Drosophila melanogaster: one gene and its partners. The protein of the gene in region 1 purifies or fractionates together with the protein of each later gene. This does not show direct contact. Each region holds a gene or a part of one and is shown in the gene's direction. Other genes may lie near its edges. The genes, in order: sti, Act5C and neb.

Region 1 (7,162 bases):
GTGAGTAACTCTTAAAACGATCGTATAGAAAATGTTACTTAAACTGAACTTAAACAAGCAATAAATAAAGAAGAAGATTTACCTTATTTGTTAATAAACTGCTCTTATTCATTTAGAACTAATTTGTAGTGTATAAAAATAAAAAGTGTATGTGGACTTACTGTGTGAACGCCTTCAACCTTCTCACCCACCTGCTCATTGGTTGCAGTTGCAGTGGCGGCCGTTGCATTGGTGGCTGGCTTGGGTGCACCATCCTCGGCCACCTTGAGCTTGGCCAGTTGGGAGCGCAGTTCCTCGAACTTGTTGTTTGCCTGCTCGAAATCGAAGTCGCCCTCGAACTTGATCTTGTTCCGCGGCTTGTTCTGATTATTGGCCGACTGCGGACGATAGCCCTGCAAAATGTGAAAGCCAGGGTTTAATAAACCATCTATAGCAGTGTGAGTCACCAGCAGGTGTACCTGATTGGGTCGCATGGGGCCGCGGGATCCCATGCCGCGGTTGCGCATGTTCATCATGTTGTTCGAGTTCTGGTTGCCGCGATGCATGTTCCAGGCCGGGTTGTTTCCACCTCCGTTTCCACCGCCGCCGCCGCTGCCGCCGTTTCCTCCTCGCTGCTGCTGTTGCATTCCGTTGCCGCCGCCGCGATTGCGCTGATTATTATTATTGTTGTTGTAGTTGTTGCTATAGTTGTTGTCCATTTGACGTCCGGAGTCCCGACGATCCCGCTGCTGGTTATAGAAGTCCGTTCCACTGCCGCCGCCTCGTTGCTGCTGCTGCTGCATATTGTTGTGGCTGGGTCCGCCACGTTGCTGATGCTGCTGATTCTGTTGCTGCTGGTGGTTCTGGCGCTTATGTCCTGCATCGCGTCCGTTGCCACCCTGGCCAGCGTTCTGTTGCTGGTGCAGCTGCTGCTGCTGAGTCAGCTCCGCCGTGGGACTCACAATCAGGCTAATGGGCGTCGTCGATCGCGAGGCACCGGCCAGCATGTCTAGAACGGAAACTGTACACATATAGAGGACGCAACGAGGACGAAAGTAAAGGAGAGAGTAATGCGTGTGGGCACCAAAAACATTAGTCCAAACAAATACTTGTGTCAAATACTTTGTATCAAAAGGTGACATTAACTATTTTAAAGGGCTGAGTAAAAGAGCGTAATTTTTAAGCATTTAAATCGACATGCTCGCTTATCGGATAAAGCCACAAAATGAACCATATCTTAAACTATTCCCGGAATTTGCGTTTTTGAAAATAGCAATCGCTTTTTAGCAGGAAACGAATTTTGATTTAAGATCACAAATGAGAAGTTCTACTTGTGTGCAATGTAATTTTAGTAATGTGTGGTCTACACCAACTCACTTGGCTGTTTCTGCTGCTGGGGCTTCGGTTGCTGCTGATTGCCACCGATGTGCATGAAGGGTCCGCTGCCCGGAGCACCGGAACCGGGTGCAAGCGATCCGCCCGCATTGCCCACCATGTTGGCCAGATTGGGACCGCCGAGGTTGCCGAACGGATTGCCATTGCCGTAGCCGGGTCCGCCGCCGCCAGGAGCTCCTGCTCCACCAGCACCACCACTGCCTCCACCGCTTGGCATTTGGGGCGGTTGCTGCGACGGCACCTGTTGCTGCTGCGGCGGACCGCTCATCCCGCTGGGCATGGGGAAGTGCTGCGGCATCTGGGGCGGTCCGTTCTGGAGCTGCGCCTGCATGATCGCCGGGTCATTGTGGTGCGGCAGCGTGTGGTTGTTGACAACGCGAATGTCCTTGATGTCCGAGCCACGGAATAGGATGTAGTCGTAGATCTGCGATTGCGGCGCTATCTGGAACTGGGTGTCCCGATCTTCTGTACCGAAGGATCGCACTGAAAAAGAAAAGAGGGTTAAAATGAATTGAGTTATAATATTAAATCGTATAAAGAGTACAATAGTGAACATTTTTTCCGTAAAGTTTTCTTATCCCAGCCGCCATTTTTATTCCATTGCTTTAAGAAAGATCTTTCACAAAACTAAACTTTTAAATTTTTAAATTTTTCCATTGCAAATAAGCTACCTTTTTTGCTTAACCGGTATTCTAAGTCGGTTTTTAAAAGTGCTCCATCTAATAAGTGGAACTTTCCGAGCCCACATCTTTCAAGTTTATATTCCAATTGTTTTAAAATGAATGCACCGCATTATATAATGCAATTGTTCAAAAGACGAATTACTTGGATTGCGGCAAACTTGTAAACCCATTAAGGTTAGGCCGCGCTTCCAATTTAACCTCAACTGGGGAACGCATGTTTTGCCGGTATTTCTCCGCTCTCCGTTCCTCCTTTTCGACTTCCAGGGCACTGACATCCGTAACGGGAGCCCTTGGATCCCGTTATCTGGCGCCAAATCGAAATTGTATTTGCAAATAAACAAATTGCATTGGGGCCTTGCTGGTGCTCGTTACTTTGTGCGCGGGTGTATGTGTGCCAAGTAAATTGCAAAAGCAACACTGTACAACAACAACCAAAGACAAAAACAGGCCAAAGCCAACATGACAAACAAAAAGCATAAGTGGGAGAGCGAGAGACGGCTGTCGAAATGGGTAATGGAGAGAGCGGTGGCGGCAATTGCACTCACCGTCTCCACGAGTATGAAATTACTGTAAAAACTAACAAAAAGAAACGAACCAAAAGGAAAGAAAGAGTAGAGCCACCAACACAAGAGAAATGGACAGAATCCATTTTCTTTTGCGATGAACCGTTTTTTTACACGATTTTTTTTTTCTTTTTTTTTGGCGCAGATTACGGCACCCACATATGTATATCCCGTATATGTACATATATGGGCGACGTGGGCGATTTTCGTATTAAATACTTACCACTCGAGAGCGCAATGGTGCACTCCTGCGGATCCACCGTGTACAGGCGGCCCTCGTATCGAATGTCCGCCTTGGAAATGAGGCTGATTTTGGAGCCCAACTCCGGTAATCCCCCGCTCATCTTGAACTACTTCGATGCTTCACTGCGCACTCACGCCGAAAATACAAACTATTATTAAATGTTTCTGCCAACAGGCACACGAATTTCTCTGTCAAAAGCAAACAATTATAGCGAGCGCGACGACAACGATTTCTCGACGGTTTCAGTCTCTGCTCTTTTACTTTTTTTCCGTCTTTTTTTCACACGCAATTGCGTTCCAGTTCCAGGGCGAATTTGCGGCCAATCGCCTTCTAGCCGCGTTTGCTTTATCAAGCTGTGTTTTTGCACAAGTGCGACAAGCGCTTTTCCAATGTCTGTGATGCTGCACACACGGCTCCAAATGTGAAAATTGCAATTTTCGATGCACAAATCTTTGCTCCGTCCGTCTGCGAAAACCTACCCGTCGAAAATGAACGATGCATACGAGCGAGAGCCTCGACGGTGTTGGAAAGCGCGGTTGTATAGCAGCGGCGGCGGCAGCGAAATAATAATAATAACTGTTTATGTGCAAAACTGTGCAAAATATAAAAGGGGACGCTTCAAAAGGTTGCCAAAAGTAAATAAGACTATTTCATTATTTATCCGTTCTCTGTTTGCATTAAAATTCAAATTTTATCCTCTTTCACAGGGCAGCCCTACTTGCAACCCTAAATACAACTCTGGAAAGTGAGCACGCATCCCTGGCTCTTCGGCTTCCCTCGGCGCATTTTTTTCAAAGCGAAACGGCAGAAAAATGCTCTGGCATTTTACGGATTTCTAATTGTATTATTTATGTGAGAAAATTGCAAATAAAAGTGAGTCCATCATGCCACCCAAGATGGAGCCGATTAGCGTGCGCACCGCGCGTCTGAACAACCTGATTCTGGGCAAAGGAGCTGGCGTCTGTGCGAAGCCCGCTGGAAGCGCCTCCGGATCAGGTATTCCCGCCTCCACCAGGAGAAGCATTGTACCCGTGAGCACCACTAGCGCCGCCGTGGCCGAGGCCATCTGCCGCGAGGGACTCCTGGACGCCTTCTGTCTGCTGTACAACGAGTGCGACAAGGATACGCTGAAGAAGCGCGATCGCAACATCGCCGAGTTTGTCAACAAATGTGAGTCAACTGCATTGGTCAGCAGGGTTTTCGGATGGAGTATCTACCATTCTATAGAAATGGAACTCAGAAGCCACATTTTTACTTCCTCGGGTCAGAGAATCTACTTTTGCTAATCATATTCCATTATTAAAGCCCACAAAATTATTGGGAGTAGAATCTCTTATAGATTTACCTGTATGTTCCGGTTTCCCTCCTTGAAAATAGAGCTCATGCCTAGTTACCCATTATATTACTATCTAATTTCCTACTCCAGTTCGTCCCATCATAGAGGAGACCCGCAAACTCAGGGTCAACGCAGATGACTTCCTCATCAAGACGCTTATTGGCCAAGGATACTTTGGCAACGTTCACCTGGTGGTGGAGCGGCAAACCAACGACATATACGCCATGAAGAAGATCAAAAAGTCGGTGGTGACGACGTCACAAGTCAAGGAGGAGCGCGATATCATGTCCATTCGCAACTCTGAATGGCTAATCAATCTGCAGTATGCCTTTCAGGTTTGTTATTTCCACATTTTCGCATATTTCAGTACTTGAATTAACTTATCACTTAGGATAACGACAATCTGTACCTGGTCATGGAGTACATGCCCGGCGGAGACCTTCTCAGCTTGATGTCACGCCACGGCCCTTTCGATGAGGACTTGGCTCGTTTCTATCTGGCCGAGCTCACAGTGGCCCTGCACACATTGCACGAGATGGGCTATGTGCATCGGGATATAAAGCCTGAAAATATACTGATTGATCGTTTTGGCCATATTAAACTGGCTGATTTCGGTAATGCCGCTGCCTTGGATCGCGATGGCCATGTGCTGAGTTTGTCGCCGGTGGGAACACCGGATTACATAGCTCCAGAGCTGCTGCAAACCATATCCACCTACAAGCTGTCCAAGTCGATGCACGATGTGAGTAGAATTGTACGATCGCAGAGTTTGGTTTGGAAAGTTCATAGCTAAAACAAGAACTCATTTTGTAGGTCAGCTGCGATTATTGGTCCATGGGCATTATAGGATATGAGTTAATATGCGAGACAACACCTTTTCACGAGGACAATGTACACGAGACATACTCCAAGATTCTCTCCCATTGCGAGGAGAGTCACCTTAAAGAGCTCATCAGCTTTCCCGCCGACTTGAAGGTGTCTGTTAACTATAGAAATCTTATTGAGTCACTGGTCACAAATCCTTCGAAGCGATTGTCCTATGAGCGCATTAAGAATCACCCCTTCTTTAGCGAAATTCCGTGGGGTTCCATTCGCTCGCAGGTTCCACCGATTATACCAACTGTTAGGTCTGACGATGATACCTCCAATTTCGAGGACGGAATTCGTCATAAGACTCGCAGAGAACAGGGAGTTGCTAAAAAGTCCCTTACGACTAACATGAAATCGAATGATTTCAGTGGCAAGGATCTGCCATTCATTGGGTACAGTTTTGTGCACATGGAAAAGTCGGCAATTTCCGCTACCACCGATGAAAAGCTTCAGGAGAAGCTAAAGGAACTGCTGCAGAAACTGAAGACTAGAGAGAACGAGATTTCCATGCTGAAACAAGATCTTCTGCGGGCTCAGCAATCGCTGAGGAAGACCGATAACAAATCTCAGGTGGTAGCCGATGCTAAAATGGAAATTAAGAAGCTGCAACAGATTATCAAGGAGAAAACAATGGAGCTTACCACTTGCAAGACGCAAATTAAGACACTCCAAAGTTCGGCCAAAATAGACGAGGAAATGTGGTCCAAGAAGGAAGCCACTATCACCGATCTCCTTCGCCTTAATCGACAAAAGTACGAAGAAGCCAAGATCGCTTCGGAGCAACGATATGAGAAACAATTGGCGGACAAAAAGCAAGAGCTGGCATCCACGCTGCAAAAGTTAGATGCCCGTGAGTTGGAGTTCAATGCCAAGTTCGAAGAGTGCAAGCATTTGTCCATGAAGTTGCAAAACTACAAGGATATGCTGCAGCAGATCAAGGAGCAGAATCTCAAGTCCGAGACAAACCATGAGGAGCAGAGGCGCCAAATGGCCGAATTGTATGAGCAAAAGCTAACAGATCTCCGGAAAAAGGTTCGCGACTCGCAGGATACAAACCGCCGCATGACAATGGAGATAAAGGAAATACGCACCGAGCTGGACGAGTCCATATCCTCCAGCAAGTCCACCCAAGAAGCGAAGAACGCTACCGAGCGGAATATCGAAGAAATTCTGCGGCGTCTGAACGAGGAGATCGCCTCCAATAATGAGCTTCATGCGGAAAAGGTCAAACTGGAGACGAAGCTGCAGCTGAAGGAAAATGAAACTCAAGAAGTTAGAGCCGAATGTCATCGACTTGAGAGGGAATTGCAGGTAGGTGGTTATTCATCTGCATTGGTTAATTCAATCACTGCAATATTGAGTAAAAAAAAATTATATAAAAAGAAATCTTAGCAGGCTGTGAATGTTTGTGTTTTTATTTTGTGTCAAACTTAAAGTCTTAATGATTTTTAATGAAGCATATAGCTTTCGATTGAATCGATGAATATAGAAACCTAAAGATATGTAATTTGTAAATATACTTTATGAATTAATTTAAACTAGCTTGCCGAATGTCGCTGTCAGCTGGCTGAATCCTCACTAGCCACCCAGGTTTCCCCCTACGAAACTGCGCCTGGATCTTTGACCGAACTGAATGCCATTGAGGATCAACTTCGCGCCGACTTGTTAGCCGCCAAAGAGAGTGAAAACCATCAGAAGGGACGCGCCGATCAACTGCAGACGCTGGTTACCAAACTGGAGCAAATGCTGGAGCGCTTCAACGAGCAGAGTCTTTCACCCACGAAATCGCACTCATCGCGTAAGCAAGAAGGTGAAACCGTTGGTGATATGCTCGAGCGGCAAAACGAGAAGCTGGAGGATAAATTGGCAGCAGTGCGAGAGCAGATGATTGTGGAACGTCAGGCAGCGCGTACAGCGAATCTATCGCTCTGGAAGGTGGAGAAACAGCTCGAGGAAGCTTTGTCCGAGAAGAAGTTACTGGCGCGTCGCATGGAACTCACAGAGGATCGGATTAAAAAGGTGCAGAACGCAAGCGATGAAGCGCAGAGAATGCTCAAGACGTCACAGGAGGAAACTCGCCAGCGGGAGTCTC
Region 2 (7,162 bases), on another chromosome or scaffold:
CGCGAAAAGGGGTGGGGTGGCAACCCTGGCGGTGCGTGCACGAAAAATAATGGAAATGGAAGAAAACCAAATGAAATGCGAAAAATTTACGAAAATTTTCACATTCAATGACCTTGACAATGGCTTTGGCCCAAGTCGCTCAACTTGTTTATTTCATTTACTTCGCTTGACGTGTGTGAGCGTAGAAAACGTGACGAGTTACGTACTTTTGGAGAAAGGTCGTTGATCATGGCTAAATGTTGTTGCTTTTCGCTTAATAGCGGTCTCAAAGTCAACATCAACGCGCTGTTTTTGGCCATTTCAGTATTTCTAGTTTCGATACCCCTCACCGCCGTCCCTCCGTCGGATTCCAGCGCTTTTTCGAACTGTTTCCCTTCAAAAACAGCTTTTTTTTCTTGAATTCAGTGGCGCAAGGTTAAAAGTGCCGAAAACCGAAGCCATTGGCCCGGGGAAATTTCTGCGAGTTTTTTCATCGCCTTGCCAAAAAAAAAAAAAAACAAAAAACAAACGATCGAGCAACGAACTTGAGAGAAGCAAATAGAGCCAAAAAAAAGGTTATGATTTTGTTCCAAAGAATGTTCCATAGAATTCTATATTCTAAAAACACAAATGATACTTCTAAAAAAAAATCATATTCATAAATGACTCTTTCCATGAATGGCATCAACTCTGAATCAAATCTTTGCAGATGCACCTACTTCTCATTTCCACTGTCACATCATTTTTCCAGATCTCGCTGCCTGTTATGTGGCCCACAAACCAAGACACGTTTTATGGCCATTAAAGCTGGCTGATCGTCGCCAAACACCAAATACATAATGAATATGTACACATTCGAGAAAGAAGCGATCAAAGAAGCGTCTTCGGGCGGAGTAGGAGAATGCGGAGGAGAAGGAGAACGAGCTGATCTAGTATCTCTCCACAATCCAATGCCAACTGACCAACTGGCCATATTCGGAGCAATTTGAAGCCAATTTCCATCGCCTGGCGATCGCTCCATTCTTGGCTATATGTTTTTCACCGTTACCCGGGGCCATTTTCAAAGACTCGTCGGCAAGATAAGATTGTGTCACTCGCTGTCTCTCTTCATTTGTCGAAGAATGCTGAGGAATTTCGCGATGACGTCGGCGAGTATTTTGAAGAATGAGAATAATTTGTATTTATACGAAAATCAGTTAGTGGAATTTTCTACAAAAACATGTTATCTATAGATAATTTTGTTGCAAAATATGTTGACTATGACAAAGAACTGGAATTAAGTGGCATATTTTGCATTGCTTTCCGATAATAGTTGTATTTTTATAAAGTAAAGCGTTTGTAAAATAAATACCTTTAATGTATTCTCATTTTCTTATGTATTTATAATGGCAATGATGATACTGATGATATTTTAAGATGATGCCAGACCAAAAGGCTTGAATTTCTGCGTCTTTTGCCGAACGCAGTGCATGTGCAATTGTTGTTTTTTGGAATATTCAATTTTCGGACTGTCCGCTTTGATTTCAGTTTCTTGGCTTATTCAAAAAGCAAAGTAAAGCCAAAAAAGCGAGATGGCAATACCAAATGCGGCAAAACGGTAGTGGAAGGAAAGGGGTGCGGGGCAGCGGAAGGAAGGGTGGGGCGGGGCGTGGCGGGGTCTGTGGCTGGGCGCGACGTCACCGACGTTGGAGCCACTCCTTTGACCATGTGTGCGTGTGTGTATTATTCGTGTCTCGCCACTCGCCGGTTGTTTTTTTCTTTTTATGCTGCGCTCTCTCTAGCGCCATCTCGCTTACGCATGCTCAACGCACCGCATGTTGCCGTTTCCTTTTATGCGTCATTTTGGCTCGAAATAGGCAATTATTTAAACAAAGATTAGTCAACGAAAACGCTAAAATAAATAAGTCTACAATATGGTTACTTATTGCCATGTGTGTGCAGCCAACGATAGCAACAAAAGCAACAACACAGGTGGCTTTCCCTCTTTCACTTTTTGTTTGCAAGCCGCGTGCGAGCAAGACGGCACGACCGGCAAACGCAATTACGCTGACAAAGAGCAGACGAAGTTTTGGCGAAAAACATCAAGGCGCCTGATACGAATGCATTTGCAATAACAATTGCGATATTTAATATTGTTTATGAAGCTGTTTGACTTCAAAACACACAAAAAAAAAAATAAAACAAATTATTTGAAAGAGAATTAGGAATCGGACGCTTATCGTTAGGGTAACAACAAGAAATGCTTACTGAGTCACAGCCTCTGGAAAACTGCCGCAAGCCAGAGAGAGAGAGAAAAAGAGGGAGAGCAGCTTAGACCGCATGTGCTTGTGTGTGAGGCGTCTCTCTCTTCGTCTCTGTTGCGCAAACGCATAGACTGCACTGAAAAAATCGATTACCTATTTTTTATGAATGAATATTTGCACTATTACTATTCAAAACTATTAAGATAGCAATCACATTCAATAGCCAAATACTATACCACCTGAGCGATGCAACGAAATGATCAATTTGAGCAAAAATGCTGCATATTTAGGACGGCATCATTATAGAAATGCTTCTTGCTGTGTACTTTTCTCTCGTCTGGCAGCTGTTTCGCCGTTATTGTTAAAACCGGCTTAAGTTAGGTGTGTTTTCTACGACTAGTGAATGCCCTACTAGAAGATGTGTGTTGCACAAAATGTCCCTGGAATAACCAATTTGAAGTGCAGATAGCAGTAAACGTAAGCTAATATGAATATTATTTAACTGTAATGTTTTAATATCGCTGGACATTACTAATAAACCCACTATAAACACATGTACATATGTATGTTTTGGCATACAATGAGTAGTTGGGGAAAAAATGTGTAAAAGCACCGTGACCATCACAGCATAAAGATAACCAGCTGAAGTATCGAATATGAGTAACCCCCAAATTGAATCACATGCCGCAACTGATAGGACCCATGGAAGTACACTCTTCATGGCGATATACAAGACACACACAAGCACGAACACCCAGTTGCGGAGGAAATTCTCCGTAAATGAAAACCCAATCGGCGAACAATTCATACCCATATATGGTAAAAGTTTTGAACGCGACTTGAGAGCGGAGAGCATTGCGGCTGATAAGGTTTTAGCGCTAAGCGGGCTTTATAAAACGGGCTGCGGGACCAGTTTTCATATCACTACCGTTTGAGTTCTTGTGCTGTGTGGATACTCCTCCCGACACAAAGCCGCTCCATCAGCCAGCAGTCGTCTAATCCAGAGACACCAAACCGAAAGACTTAATTTATATTTATTTAATTAATTTTAATAAAACACACCAAATGTAAGTAGCTTTCCCCTTCCCAACAACAAAACACCATCGAACCACTCCCACCAAGAAAAAGCAATAATCGAGAAAAGCCGCGGAAAATGTGTGATTTTTTTTGTAAACAAAACATTTTTTTATGTGCCAGTGCTGAAAGTGATCAAAAAATACTAGCCACGAGCTAAAGAGTTATTGTATTGACCAAAACTCCAAAAATACCCAAGTTTGGCCCTAAATTGTCAATCAAAATACCAATAGGTCGAAAGACATCAAAATTAACAAAACCAGGGTTTCAAATACCATAACTCAAGAATCAGGATTACAACTGCAGATTTCAGGATATATACATACAAATTATACGAAATTATAAAAACCAAAGCAATTCAATAGCCCCAACTCAAATGTTAGGATCTAATATAGTGTTTAAAGCCAAGCTCGCTGATGTGGGCGTGTCACGATTTCACCCAAAGATATGCCAAATTACGAATTGCAAATCAATTCGCCAACACTTTCTTTTTTTCCCACGCCCTAAAACACCAGATCATCCATAAATGTACATACATACAGTATATGCATATTATAATCTGTAAAACTAGATCAGGTTCTTGAAAATAGTGACGTAGGCAGCCGTTTTGGCTGAAGCAGAAATTTTTGCCGGTTTTTCAAAGTTGTAGTTGCAAAAATGGAGAAAACCTTCGAGCATTCGTTCATATACACACACTCACGCGCAAAATAACGAGAGAGAGTGTATGTGTGTGTGAGAGAGCGAAAGCCAGACGACGGTTTGCTTTTCGCCTCGAAACATGACCATATATGGTCACAAAACTTGGCCGCCGCAATTCAACACACCAGCGCTCTCCTTCGCACCCATAGCGACCATGGCGCGGAGCGAGCGAGATGGCGAGAGCGAGCGACGCCTATGGCGACGTCGACGCAGGCAGCGATTGAAAAACGCAGTTAACTGGCATTCAACATTCACCAGCCACTTTCAGTCGGTTTATTCCAGTCATTCCTTTCAAACCGTGCGGTCGCTTAGCTCAGCCTCGCCACTTGCGTTTACAGTAGTTTTCACGCCTTGAATTTGTTAAATCGAACAAAAAGGTAAAGTTTAACTAGCTTTGAAAAGTTTCGTGGCTCTTAATTGTTAAATTTTCTAGAGTGCGTTTAGTGTTTTTTTTTTTTTTTATTTTGTAATGTTAATTTCGGGTTCCAATTCGAGTTTTAGGCAGCCGCCATTTTAAGGGCGCATACACACAGGCAACTGTGCTCTCTTTGCGGCTTTCTTTTGCACCGGCATTCGTTAAGTGTCGTCTAGAAGCTTCTCCCCTCCCTTTTCGGCATATTCGTATTGTGGTTTTAATTTTTCGGGGCGGGGCCTTCTATTTTGTAACTGTTCTTTTAATTTCTTATTACAATTCGATCGCAAGTGAAAATCAGTTTTCAATCGGAAAAGTATTTTTTTATGAAATTTTTTTTGTCCAAGATTAAAATTTTGTACTAAAAAAACGTACATTGCATTGAGTGATTTTTAATTGTACACGAAAAACAAGTTAGTTTGTTATGACAATTGTACTTTGGTAGACCAGCGCAGTCCAAGGAAACCACGCAAATTCTCAGTTTTTTTTTTGCCATTTCTACATTACCAAATAAGGTAACCAAAAACTAATGGGAAATCCGCATTCTTTCCATTGCAGCTTACAAAATGTGTGACGAAGAAGTTGCTGCTCTGGTTGTCGACAACGGCTCTGGCATGTGCAAGGCCGGATTTGCCGGAGACGATGCTCCCCGCGCCGTCTTCCCATCGATTGTGGGACGTCCCCGTCACCAGGGTGTGATGGTCGGCATGGGCCAGAAGGACTCGTACGTGGGTGATGAGGCGCAGAGCAAGCGTGGTATCCTCACCCTGAAGTACCCCATTGAGCACGGTATCGTGACCAACTGGGACGATATGGAGAAGATCTGGCACCACACCTTCTACAATGAGCTGCGTGTGGCACCCGAGGAGCACCCCGTGCTGCTGACCGAGGCCCCGCTGAACCCCAAGGCCAACCGTGAGAAGATGACCCAGATCATGTTCGAGACCTTCAACACACCCGCCATGTATGTGGCCATCCAGGCTGTGCTCTCGCTGTACGCCTCCGGTCGTACCACCGGTATCGTTCTGGACTCCGGCGATGGTGTCTCCCACACCGTGCCCATCTACGAGGGTTATGCCCTTCCCCATGCCATCCTGCGTCTGGATCTGGCTGGTCGCGATTTGACCGACTACCTGATGAAGATCCTGACCGAGCGCGGTTACTCTTTCACCACCACCGCTGAGCGTGAAATCGTCCGTGACATCAAGGAGAAGCTGTGCTATGTTGCCCTCGACTTTGAGCAGGAGATGGCCACCGCTGCCAGCAGCTCCTCGTTGGAGAAGTCCTACGAGCTGCCCGACGGACAGGTGATCACCATCGGCAACGAGCGTTTCCGCTGCCCCGAGGCCCTGTTCCAGCCCTCGTTCTTGGGAATGGAGGCTTGCGGCATCCACGAGACCACCTACAACTCCATCATGAAGTGTGATGTGGATATCCGTAAGGATCTGTATGCCAACACCGTGCTGTCCGGTGGCACCACCATGTACCCTGGCATCGCCGACCGTATGCAGAAGGAGATCACCGCCCTGGCACCGTCGACCATGAAGATCAAGATCATTGCCCCGCCAGAGCGCAAGTACTCTGTCTGGATCGGTGGCTCCATCCTGGCTTCGCTGTCCACCTTCCAGCAGATGTGGATCTCCAAGCAGGAGTACGACGAGTCCGGCCCCTCCATTGTGCACCGCAAGTGCTTCTAAGAAGGATCGCTTGTCTGGGCAAGAGGATCAGGATCGGGATGGTCTTGATTCTGCTGGAGGAGGAGGAGGAGAAGTCGAGGAAGCAGCAGCGAAAGTGCAAGTGCGAGTGGTGGAAGTTTGGAGTGCAGCACAACAAAATCAACAACAACACCAACTACAAGATGAAAAGAGCGGAACCACCTGCACACCATCATCATTATCATCATCGTTTTGGGCGCATGTTGTGTGGTTCCAGCGTATTAATATAATTAATTTATTCCACATGAGATATGATATGATATACTATGTATTTTTTGTTTTTTTTTTATTTGTAAACCTTTAATATAACAAGAACTACAAAAAATGAAAATGAGCGAAAATGCATATTCTGCCATTCCACACACACACCAACAACACCCAACACACGCACACCCACAAGCTTACACACACACATTCGCGGCATGACAAGGACATCAAGATAAAGAAGAACTTAAAGAAGATATTTCCCAAAGCGCAAAAAGAACACACACACATTGCAAAACACAAACAACACACTAGCGTTTTGTACAATTCGTCAGCAACCTTATGTATTATTTTTTAATTATGATGTAATTATAAACAAAGTGAAACAAAAATATGAAAACAAAAAGGAAAATCAAATCTGTCTTCTCTTTCTCCCGCTCTCCTCGCTCTCTGCTGCTAACCTCGCCCTCTCCTCTCTCATCTTTTTGTCTGTCTCTCTTCCACATTTTTGCCGGCCGGCAAAATAATAACCCACACACACTCACACTTGGCTGCAGTTTCGCGTGCGATATTCACACACATTCAAGCATACAAGCATACATACATATGTATTTTTTTTTTATTTGTACACTTTTCTAATTGCATGCGTATCGATTGATAAGTTTACGCCTGAAAATGTTAATTAAAATGTGAAAATGCAACTGAAAAACTGATGAAATGAAACAACAACAAGCGAACAATTTGCTACATGTGTATTGTCTAACAACCGTTACTGCAACGGTTGCTTCGGAAAAGGGTGAAGAGGAAGAGGGCACGAGGTCGACGAACTAAGGCTG
Region 3 (7,162 bases), on another chromosome or scaffold:
CGATCAATTTTCCATACCTGCACGGCTTCTGGCACATATTCATTTTTATAGCCGCCTACACGGTGCTGGTGCTTTTCGCCTACTTCTACGTGGAATCGGAGCTGCCCCAGCGACAGCCGCTGCTGAAGTACTGGCCAAAGAACGAGTTCGAGTTCGGGATACCCTTCATTTCGATCCGGAATCCAGGTAAGGCTCTGCGCAACACCATCTAAGGACGATTGCGCCGGAATGGAGAGCTGGCAGAGAAGTGACCAAAGACCAAGCGATAATATCGTACATGCTTTAAAACCATACACAATTATTGTAAAATTGCGGCAACGTAATTGTAGCGCACACTTTTTATATAGTTGAAACAGTTTATTAGCCATAGATGTATTTATATTAAGCAAACGAATCGGATTCGCGGTTGTACCCAAAAGAGATAAGTCTGTTAACGCCTTAAGATTCGGTGCACCTGAACACTTGGGCCTAAAACAATAATAGTAGCGCCCTGCTTAGTCCATAAATGAATGGGCGATTGCTCCGTGGAACTATTGTAGAAAGACATATCTAAATGATGTTTATTGTTCCGTCTATCCCCTAAAATGAGTTTAATCAAAGTCTTCTAACCCGTTCTATGAGTATGAGTTACCATCAGACTGTGATATGTTATGAACTAATTCATCCCATGACTTCCAGAACAAATGGTTCCTACGCTTTCCCAAAGAGACAAAAAATCGTATTAGGTTGTCAGTACCTGAATTTGTTAATTGTCTAATTTACGCAAACTAACCAACTAACACCTACACTTATTCTGGATTGGAAATCTACTAGCATGTAGCAGTAACCACAACTAAAACACTAAACAAAGTAGAGATCGTTGCTCAAAGTATTATGCAATCCAAATCATTCAACCCGCTACCTTGCTGATTCCACAGATTCGAAAGATTGGCTCGTCTACTGCAGTCTGTACATGCAGGACTATGACTATGACTACAAGCACCGAAAGAACTAAGGCAAGAAATCGGGTGGAGAGCCTTCTCCAAACAGAGACATACACAGCGTGATATAAGTTAGAGTTGCAGAAGGTGGAACAACTAAATTATTTATTAACTACAAAGCTCGCCTGCTCATCGCGGAAACCAAATTATGTATAGATGCCATATGGAGCGATAGTTTAGGAAGTATGTATGATTTACTTAGGCTAAACGAATGTCGACAAATATACTGTGTTAGGAATGCAAGCTCTCTTGTTTAATCGCAATAAAGAATAGTATTTCAGTTGCCTTTGTTTTATTCAATATTATGTTGCATTAACATATTTTACTCCTACATACTGTGTAATTCGTATAACTTTTCATTCCCTTACATGGTAAGTGTCCTTTTCTACGCGCGTGCTTAAGAGGTTGGCTGAGTCTTCGCTGATCATTGGTCCAATCAAAAAATTCGTTAGGCGATGTCACAATCTTCGAATGTTCAATCCGAATCCGACGAGATGTTGGTGCACGAATCGTGAGCGATGCGTTTGTTGATGGGGTTGTAGATGCCATTGAGCGGATACGGGCCGCGGTAGCTGATAATGTTCTTTGGGGTCTCATGGATCTTCACCTCGTACAGCAGCTCCGGCTTCTTCAGCTGCAGACGGATGTTGTCCCAGATGTAAACGGCCAAGTTTTCTGTGGTGCTTGGCTGGGGGGGATAGATATAAAGGATAAGTACGGTAAGTTGTGTTGTGCTTGCTGGTTATTTACTGTATTGGCAAAGTATTCGACATCCTTATCGAGATTCTTGTGGTCCAGGCGCTTCATAATCACAGTTTCTATAGCCTCTTTCAGCTCGGTGATGTTTAGCACCATTCCGGTTCGCCGATCGATGGGACCACGGACGGTTATCTCAACTGAAAAGATCACAAAGGATTATAAAAGAACATCTTTCGTAGTCTATTCACACATTTTTTGGTATAATTTGGTATAATCGGCATCGAGTCAAGCTTGAGTTCTTAAGGTTTAGCTATTGACAATCTAAATATAATCCAAATTTCTAATCAGTTGAGCACTTGCGACACTTTATGCTCGTTCAGAACCATTATTCATTATCAATTCTCGGTCGCCAGTCAACATATTGATTGCCTTTGAGCGTTGAACTTGAATATGGTTTTGATAAGCGAGCTTGTCGGCCAAGGTTTTGCTATGGTTAGGCACCACTTTGGGCTCAAATTACCAGTTTAGTAGGGGGTTAAGCCTGATTGAGCCGGGGTTATGTGATAATAAGTGTGGCACTTTGCAGGTAATCATGCGACTAAGTGTATTTAAGGGGTATTTTTTTTTTTACCTGTATAGTTGTGTCCGTGGCCGTGGAAATTGTTGCACTTGCCGAAGACTTCCAGATTCTCGGCGTCGCTCAATTGGGGACTGAAGAGAAAATAGATGCAGCAATCAATTTAAATCGAACTGAATTGGTTTGCCAGCCGTGATTGAATCAGGCAATTGAATGATTCAATTTGATTCAATCTAATTACCTATGGAGACGATGGCAGGCGCTGAAAGTTTCGCGACGGGTTAAAAAGGCAACAGGTTGCTGCGACATTTCAAGTCCGATTTATACTATATATCTGGATCTGTATCTGGATGTGGATTTATATATGCGGCTGATCAGCTGCGCGCTTTGGCAATGTTTTACAATGAATGCAAAACCTGCTTTTGAGCCGCGCTTATTTATATGGTACTTGGATCGAGGGAACAAGGAAATATAAGCCACAAATGCGGCGACTGCGATATCAACACGCTCGGAACTAGTTTCTCTGAACTTTTCGAGTGCGGCTAATTGCAGCTGATTAGCGATTGATGTTCCCTCGTTTTCTGTTGCAAGTGCCTATGCGTGCTGCAAAGACAGGGTGTGGTATGCTATAGCCATGGTAACAAACTCAATTCAGCAAGGAACTCACCTTTAATTGCTATGGATTTTCAATAATATTTACTTTTGTCTACGTTGCTCGTCAACAGCTGCTCCCGATAACAAGGCAGCGCGTATCGGTTATCGGCCAGAGCTGAGCAGTTTGCCGCCACAACTGTTCTCAGTGATTTACAACTGCACAAATAGACTATTGTATGGGTAGAAATCCTTACACTATTACAATTTCGCTATATATTTATTTATTTCATGTTAGTTCTTTGTCAATTATCTCATAATTTAAATGAGCTGATTAACAGAGTTAGCTAACAGAGTATGTAAGTGCTGTTCATCCCTGGCTCGTGGTGGCGTTGCCGGACCTCACGCCGCTCACTGTAATCAACCCTGCTTTGCTATCGATCGCCGCCCTTCACTAGAAAAAAAATAACAAACGACGCCGCGCAATAATTCGAAACTCTTCGGCGTTATTTAAAAAACGAGCAGAGATACCTAAATAATAATCTAGACATGAGCAACAAGAGCACTCCGGTGCGGCAGCGCATCCAGCAGTTCCAGACGCGAGGAGTCCACAAATCCACGCCGGCATCCGAGATGCGCAAGAAGGTGCTGATGACGCGGGCGGAGGATCGGGAGCACCGGGATCGTCCCGAACAGCTGCTGAACACTGCATTCAGCGGGAGCACGCCACAGCCGAAGCCCAAGCCCACGGCCCTGAATGCCTGCTACACACCCTCGTCGCTGTACAGGAATGCGAACTCTACTCCTGGAAGAGCAAAGACGCCCGGCACCGGGAAATCCAGCTGCAGCAGGACAAAGGAGCGGGACTCTCTGATGGAGTCCTGCCTCAGCGTGTCCGAGGAGAGCAACATGATTGTGGCGGTGCGAGTGCGGCCACTGAATGCCCTGGAATGCACACGTGGTCAGGTCACCAATGTGGTCCAGGTGCACGGAAACAGCAACGAGCTGACTGTCCAAGCGGGCAGCAGTGCTGATGCCTCCGCCGGCGTGACGCACTTCTTCAGCTACGACCAGGTCTACTACTCGTGCGATCCCGAACGAAAGAACTTCGCCTGCCAGGCCAAAGTCTTTGAGGGCACAGCGCGTCCCTTGATCGACACTGCCTTCGAGGGCTACAATGCCTGCTTGTTTGCCTACGGCCAGACGGGCTCGGGCAAATCGTACAGCATGATGGGCATTGAAGCATTGGATGACGCCGCTCTGGATGGCGGACCGCCGCACGATGAGGCGGGCATCATTCCACGCTTCTGCCACGAGCTATTCCGCCGCATAGAGGCTGTGAAAAGTCAGCAGCAGCTGCAGGTGGAGGTGGAGGTCAGCTACTTTGAGATCTACAACGAGAAGATACACGATCTGCTGAGTGTCCAGCATGCGGCAGCTGCCACCGGGGAATCCACGCCCATCCAGCAGCAACAACAGCAGCAGCGTCCGGCTCTAAAGGTCAGGGAGCATCCCATCTTCGGGCCCTACGTAGTGGACTTGAGTGCCCACTCGGTGGACTCGTACTCGGCACTCCGCAACTGGCTTGCCGTGGGCAACTCCCAGCGGGCCACTGCCTCCACGGCCATGAACGACAAGAGCTCGCGCTCACACTCCATCTTCAACATTGTCCTAAACCTCACCGATCTGAGCAGTGACGATGGCCTGTCCTCGGATACGGACTCGAGCACGGCCTCCTCCCTGCGGCAGACGCGGCGCAGCAAGATTAGCCTGGTGGACCTGGCGGGCAGCGAACGCATTAGCGTCTCCGGATCGAACGGCGAGCGGATCCGCGAGGGCGTCAGCATCAACAAGAGCCTGCTGACGCTGGGGAAAGTAATTGCTGCTCTCGCCGATTCCCGCAAGGCGATCGCCAATGGACCCCTGGGCTCTGGGACGCCCAGCACCTTCGTTCCCTATCGCGAGAGCGTGCTCACCTGGCTGTTGCGGGTAAGTGTTACGAAATAGTTCTTAGCTGCGTTTGTACTTATCAACCGGGTCAGTAGGTTGGTCTACTTTCGGCTAATGATAACTCTTTCTTATCCCCTTGGTTTTTGAAATCAATAATTGTACCCAGAAGTGATTGCTAAGTATGTGTTTCGAATAAGTTCAGCTCAGTAAAACCTTATAACCTCATGTCTTCAATATAAATGCATATGTATATTCGCAATGCTTTCCGCACTTTTGCCACCACCGATAGGATTGCTTATCAACACTTTCGCTTCGATTAGGCAGTGGCCCACGGAATGGGGTCCCCTTGCAATCAGTAATTACCCGGAAAGCAATCAGTACGTAGAACTGCACTGCAACATGCAAATGACACGTTGACCCCTGCGGAAAGTACCCACAAAATGTTCGTACGGTCAAATGTTTACTTAACTGGCTGGCAGATATTCGTCTTTTCAACAGATCTCGTGATGAGCTATGAAGCCCACTGTCTACAGAGATATCATCTCGACTCGCGCGACACGCGAATTCTGTTTTAATGATGTCTGCACTGCGAGGAGCAGCTGCTAGACAGATTTATGTTGGCTCTATCAATTAACTGGGGTGCTAATTACTTTAATTAAAATAAAGCGTCAAATTGTCCGAAAAAAACAAGGAAAAGAAGACGACAACATCAGCCAGAGATTAGATTGAGTTTATCTGCGCTTTATAGGACTAAATATGAGAGATCTCGAGTTCTAAACTCGAACCTTGTTATCATTCGTTTGTTTATTTTGTTTGCTAAGATTGCCAGCAGACTTAGTGTATTTTTTATTATTATTATTTCCTTATCATTTTCGATAGGAAAGCCTTTTATTAAGGTCTACCAAATCAAAGACCTCCCGCACCTCAATCAATTGAGTGATTAAAATTTTGGCCTCTTATCATATCTATTTAATCTATTGTTGTTGCTTTTCCTATGTGACCATAAAATTTATGACCTGATACAAAGGCGCACGTGTAAACTTTCTAGAAATTTATTTTAAGAACGCGAATAAAAAGATAGCAGTGTCTTCACCCGGGTAATATAATTATTTTGTTATAAAACCTCAGCAAATGCTTACATAGCATTAGCAGGAAAATTGTTATAAACTTGTCATGAGACTTGAATGTTGTGCATTAGTTAACATATTAGCTACTTGTTTCACGATTGTTTGAATTGAGTAACGACTGCGTTTTCTTTAGCAATCAATGTAACATACTTATGTGTGCATTTTAAGTTAACAACTGCTCTTAAGCGAACGCCACACGTTCGTAATAACTTGATTGTTGGAATATTACCAGGCTAGTTAATCCGAAAGTGAGGGTTTTATATAATACAAGTATCTGGCTTCTAAAAAAAGGCGCACTCGACATTTGCGACGTAATTTATAATCATTCGACTGCATTCAATGAGTAATTACATGGCGCCCACAAGTGAGAGGCTCTTGATCGAAAGTCCAAACACTTGTCTTTTTTCCCGAAACCCGTTCCACTGAGTGTTATTTAGTGTCCAGTGTCCACTTTGCTTTTCGTTACGGTAGTACGGCCCATAAAATGGCTCACATGATTTATTTCCGTACGCGGCCTTTGCCATAAAAGGTGAAGACAAATATTTCTTGGAATGGCGTCGTAGGTCCGTAGGGGACTCTCGCAGCCAGCGTAGTGACGAAACGCACCAGATTGTGGTTGCCCAATCCATCTTTAAAATCATTGAAAGATTTAGATGGTTTAGATTTAGGGTTTGTATGTTGATTGTTACTAGTTGTTTTCACCCCTTTAAAAGGAGGGGGGTTTTGTTGTGTTTTTTTTTTATATATCAGCCGACCTTGTTTTTTGCCTCTGATATTTTTGGGCTTCCATGGTTCCTATCTATCCGTGAAGTACTTTTCCTATCTTTGCATACGACACAAAAGTTCCATCTACATCTTCACTTGCCACCCCATAGATTTAAAAATACTTTGCAGATAATGCTTTATTTGGTATTTTTGTGCGGTACTTCGGCACTAAAACATTATAACACTTGATACGTTATCGCGTCTCCTAAGTTGCGACACCAACAATTTCAATTGTTGCTGTCGTTGTTGACGTTTTCCACATTTACACGCTGAAGGCTCGCATTTGCAATTGCCCTTGCTCAGCTTTTTTCCATCCTTAAGAGCTGCAATAACAATTTGTACACAAAATGAATAATTTATATACAGATAGTTAGGATGGTAACTAAACGTTTACGAAGTGTATACAAGCCAATAAAGGTAATTGATGGCAGAGTATGTTACAATTAGCAAATATGTTTAGGCCAAGTAAAATC

What was found.
Region 2: the proteins of sti (region 1) and Act5C purify together in Drosophila melanogaster (affinity purification with western blotting, with the first as the bait; one study listed by BioGRID). This does not show direct contact.
Region 3: the proteins of sti (region 1) and neb purify together in Drosophila melanogaster (affinity purification with western blotting; one study listed by BioGRID). This does not show direct contact.

What each region holds. Positions count from the first base shown.
Region 1 is NT_037436.4:12,511,254-12,518,415, reverse strand, and holds the start of sti (sticky), read left to right. Parts: upstream 1-3,600; 5' UTR 3,601-3,748; coding exon 3,749-4,034; intron 4,035-4,290; coding exon 4,291-4,535; intron 4,536-4,591; coding exon 4,592-4,954; intron 4,955-5,013; coding exon 5,014-6,381; intron 6,382-6,612; coding exon 6,613-7,162. Other genes in the region: tral (trailer hitch), read right to left, coding at 162-392, 459-1,000, 1,357-1,857, 2,844-2,964.
Region 2 is NC_004354.4:5,897,725-5,904,886, forward strand, and holds the start of Act5C (actin 5C), read left to right. Parts: upstream 1-3,136; 5' UTR 3,137-3,289; intron 3,290-4,257; exon of another isoform or gene 4,258-4,372; intron 4,373-4,965; 5' UTR 4,966-4,973; coding exon 4,974-6,104; 3' UTR 6,105-7,162. UniProt on the Drosophila melanogaster protein: Actins are highly conserved proteins that are involved in various types of cell motility and are ubiquitously expressed in all eukaryotic cells.
Region 3 is NT_033779.5:20,072,461-20,079,622, forward strand, and holds the start of neb (nebbish), read left to right. Parts: upstream 1-3,296; 5' UTR 3,297-3,396; coding exon 3,397-4,836; intron 4,837-6,809; exon of another isoform or gene 6,810-6,857; coding exon of another isoform or gene 6,858-7,012; intron 7,013-7,162. Other genes in the region: bwa (brain washing), read left to right, coding at 1-186, 918-994; pr (purple), read right to left, coding at 1,456-1,668, 1,731-1,876, 2,311-2,390, 2,498-2,565.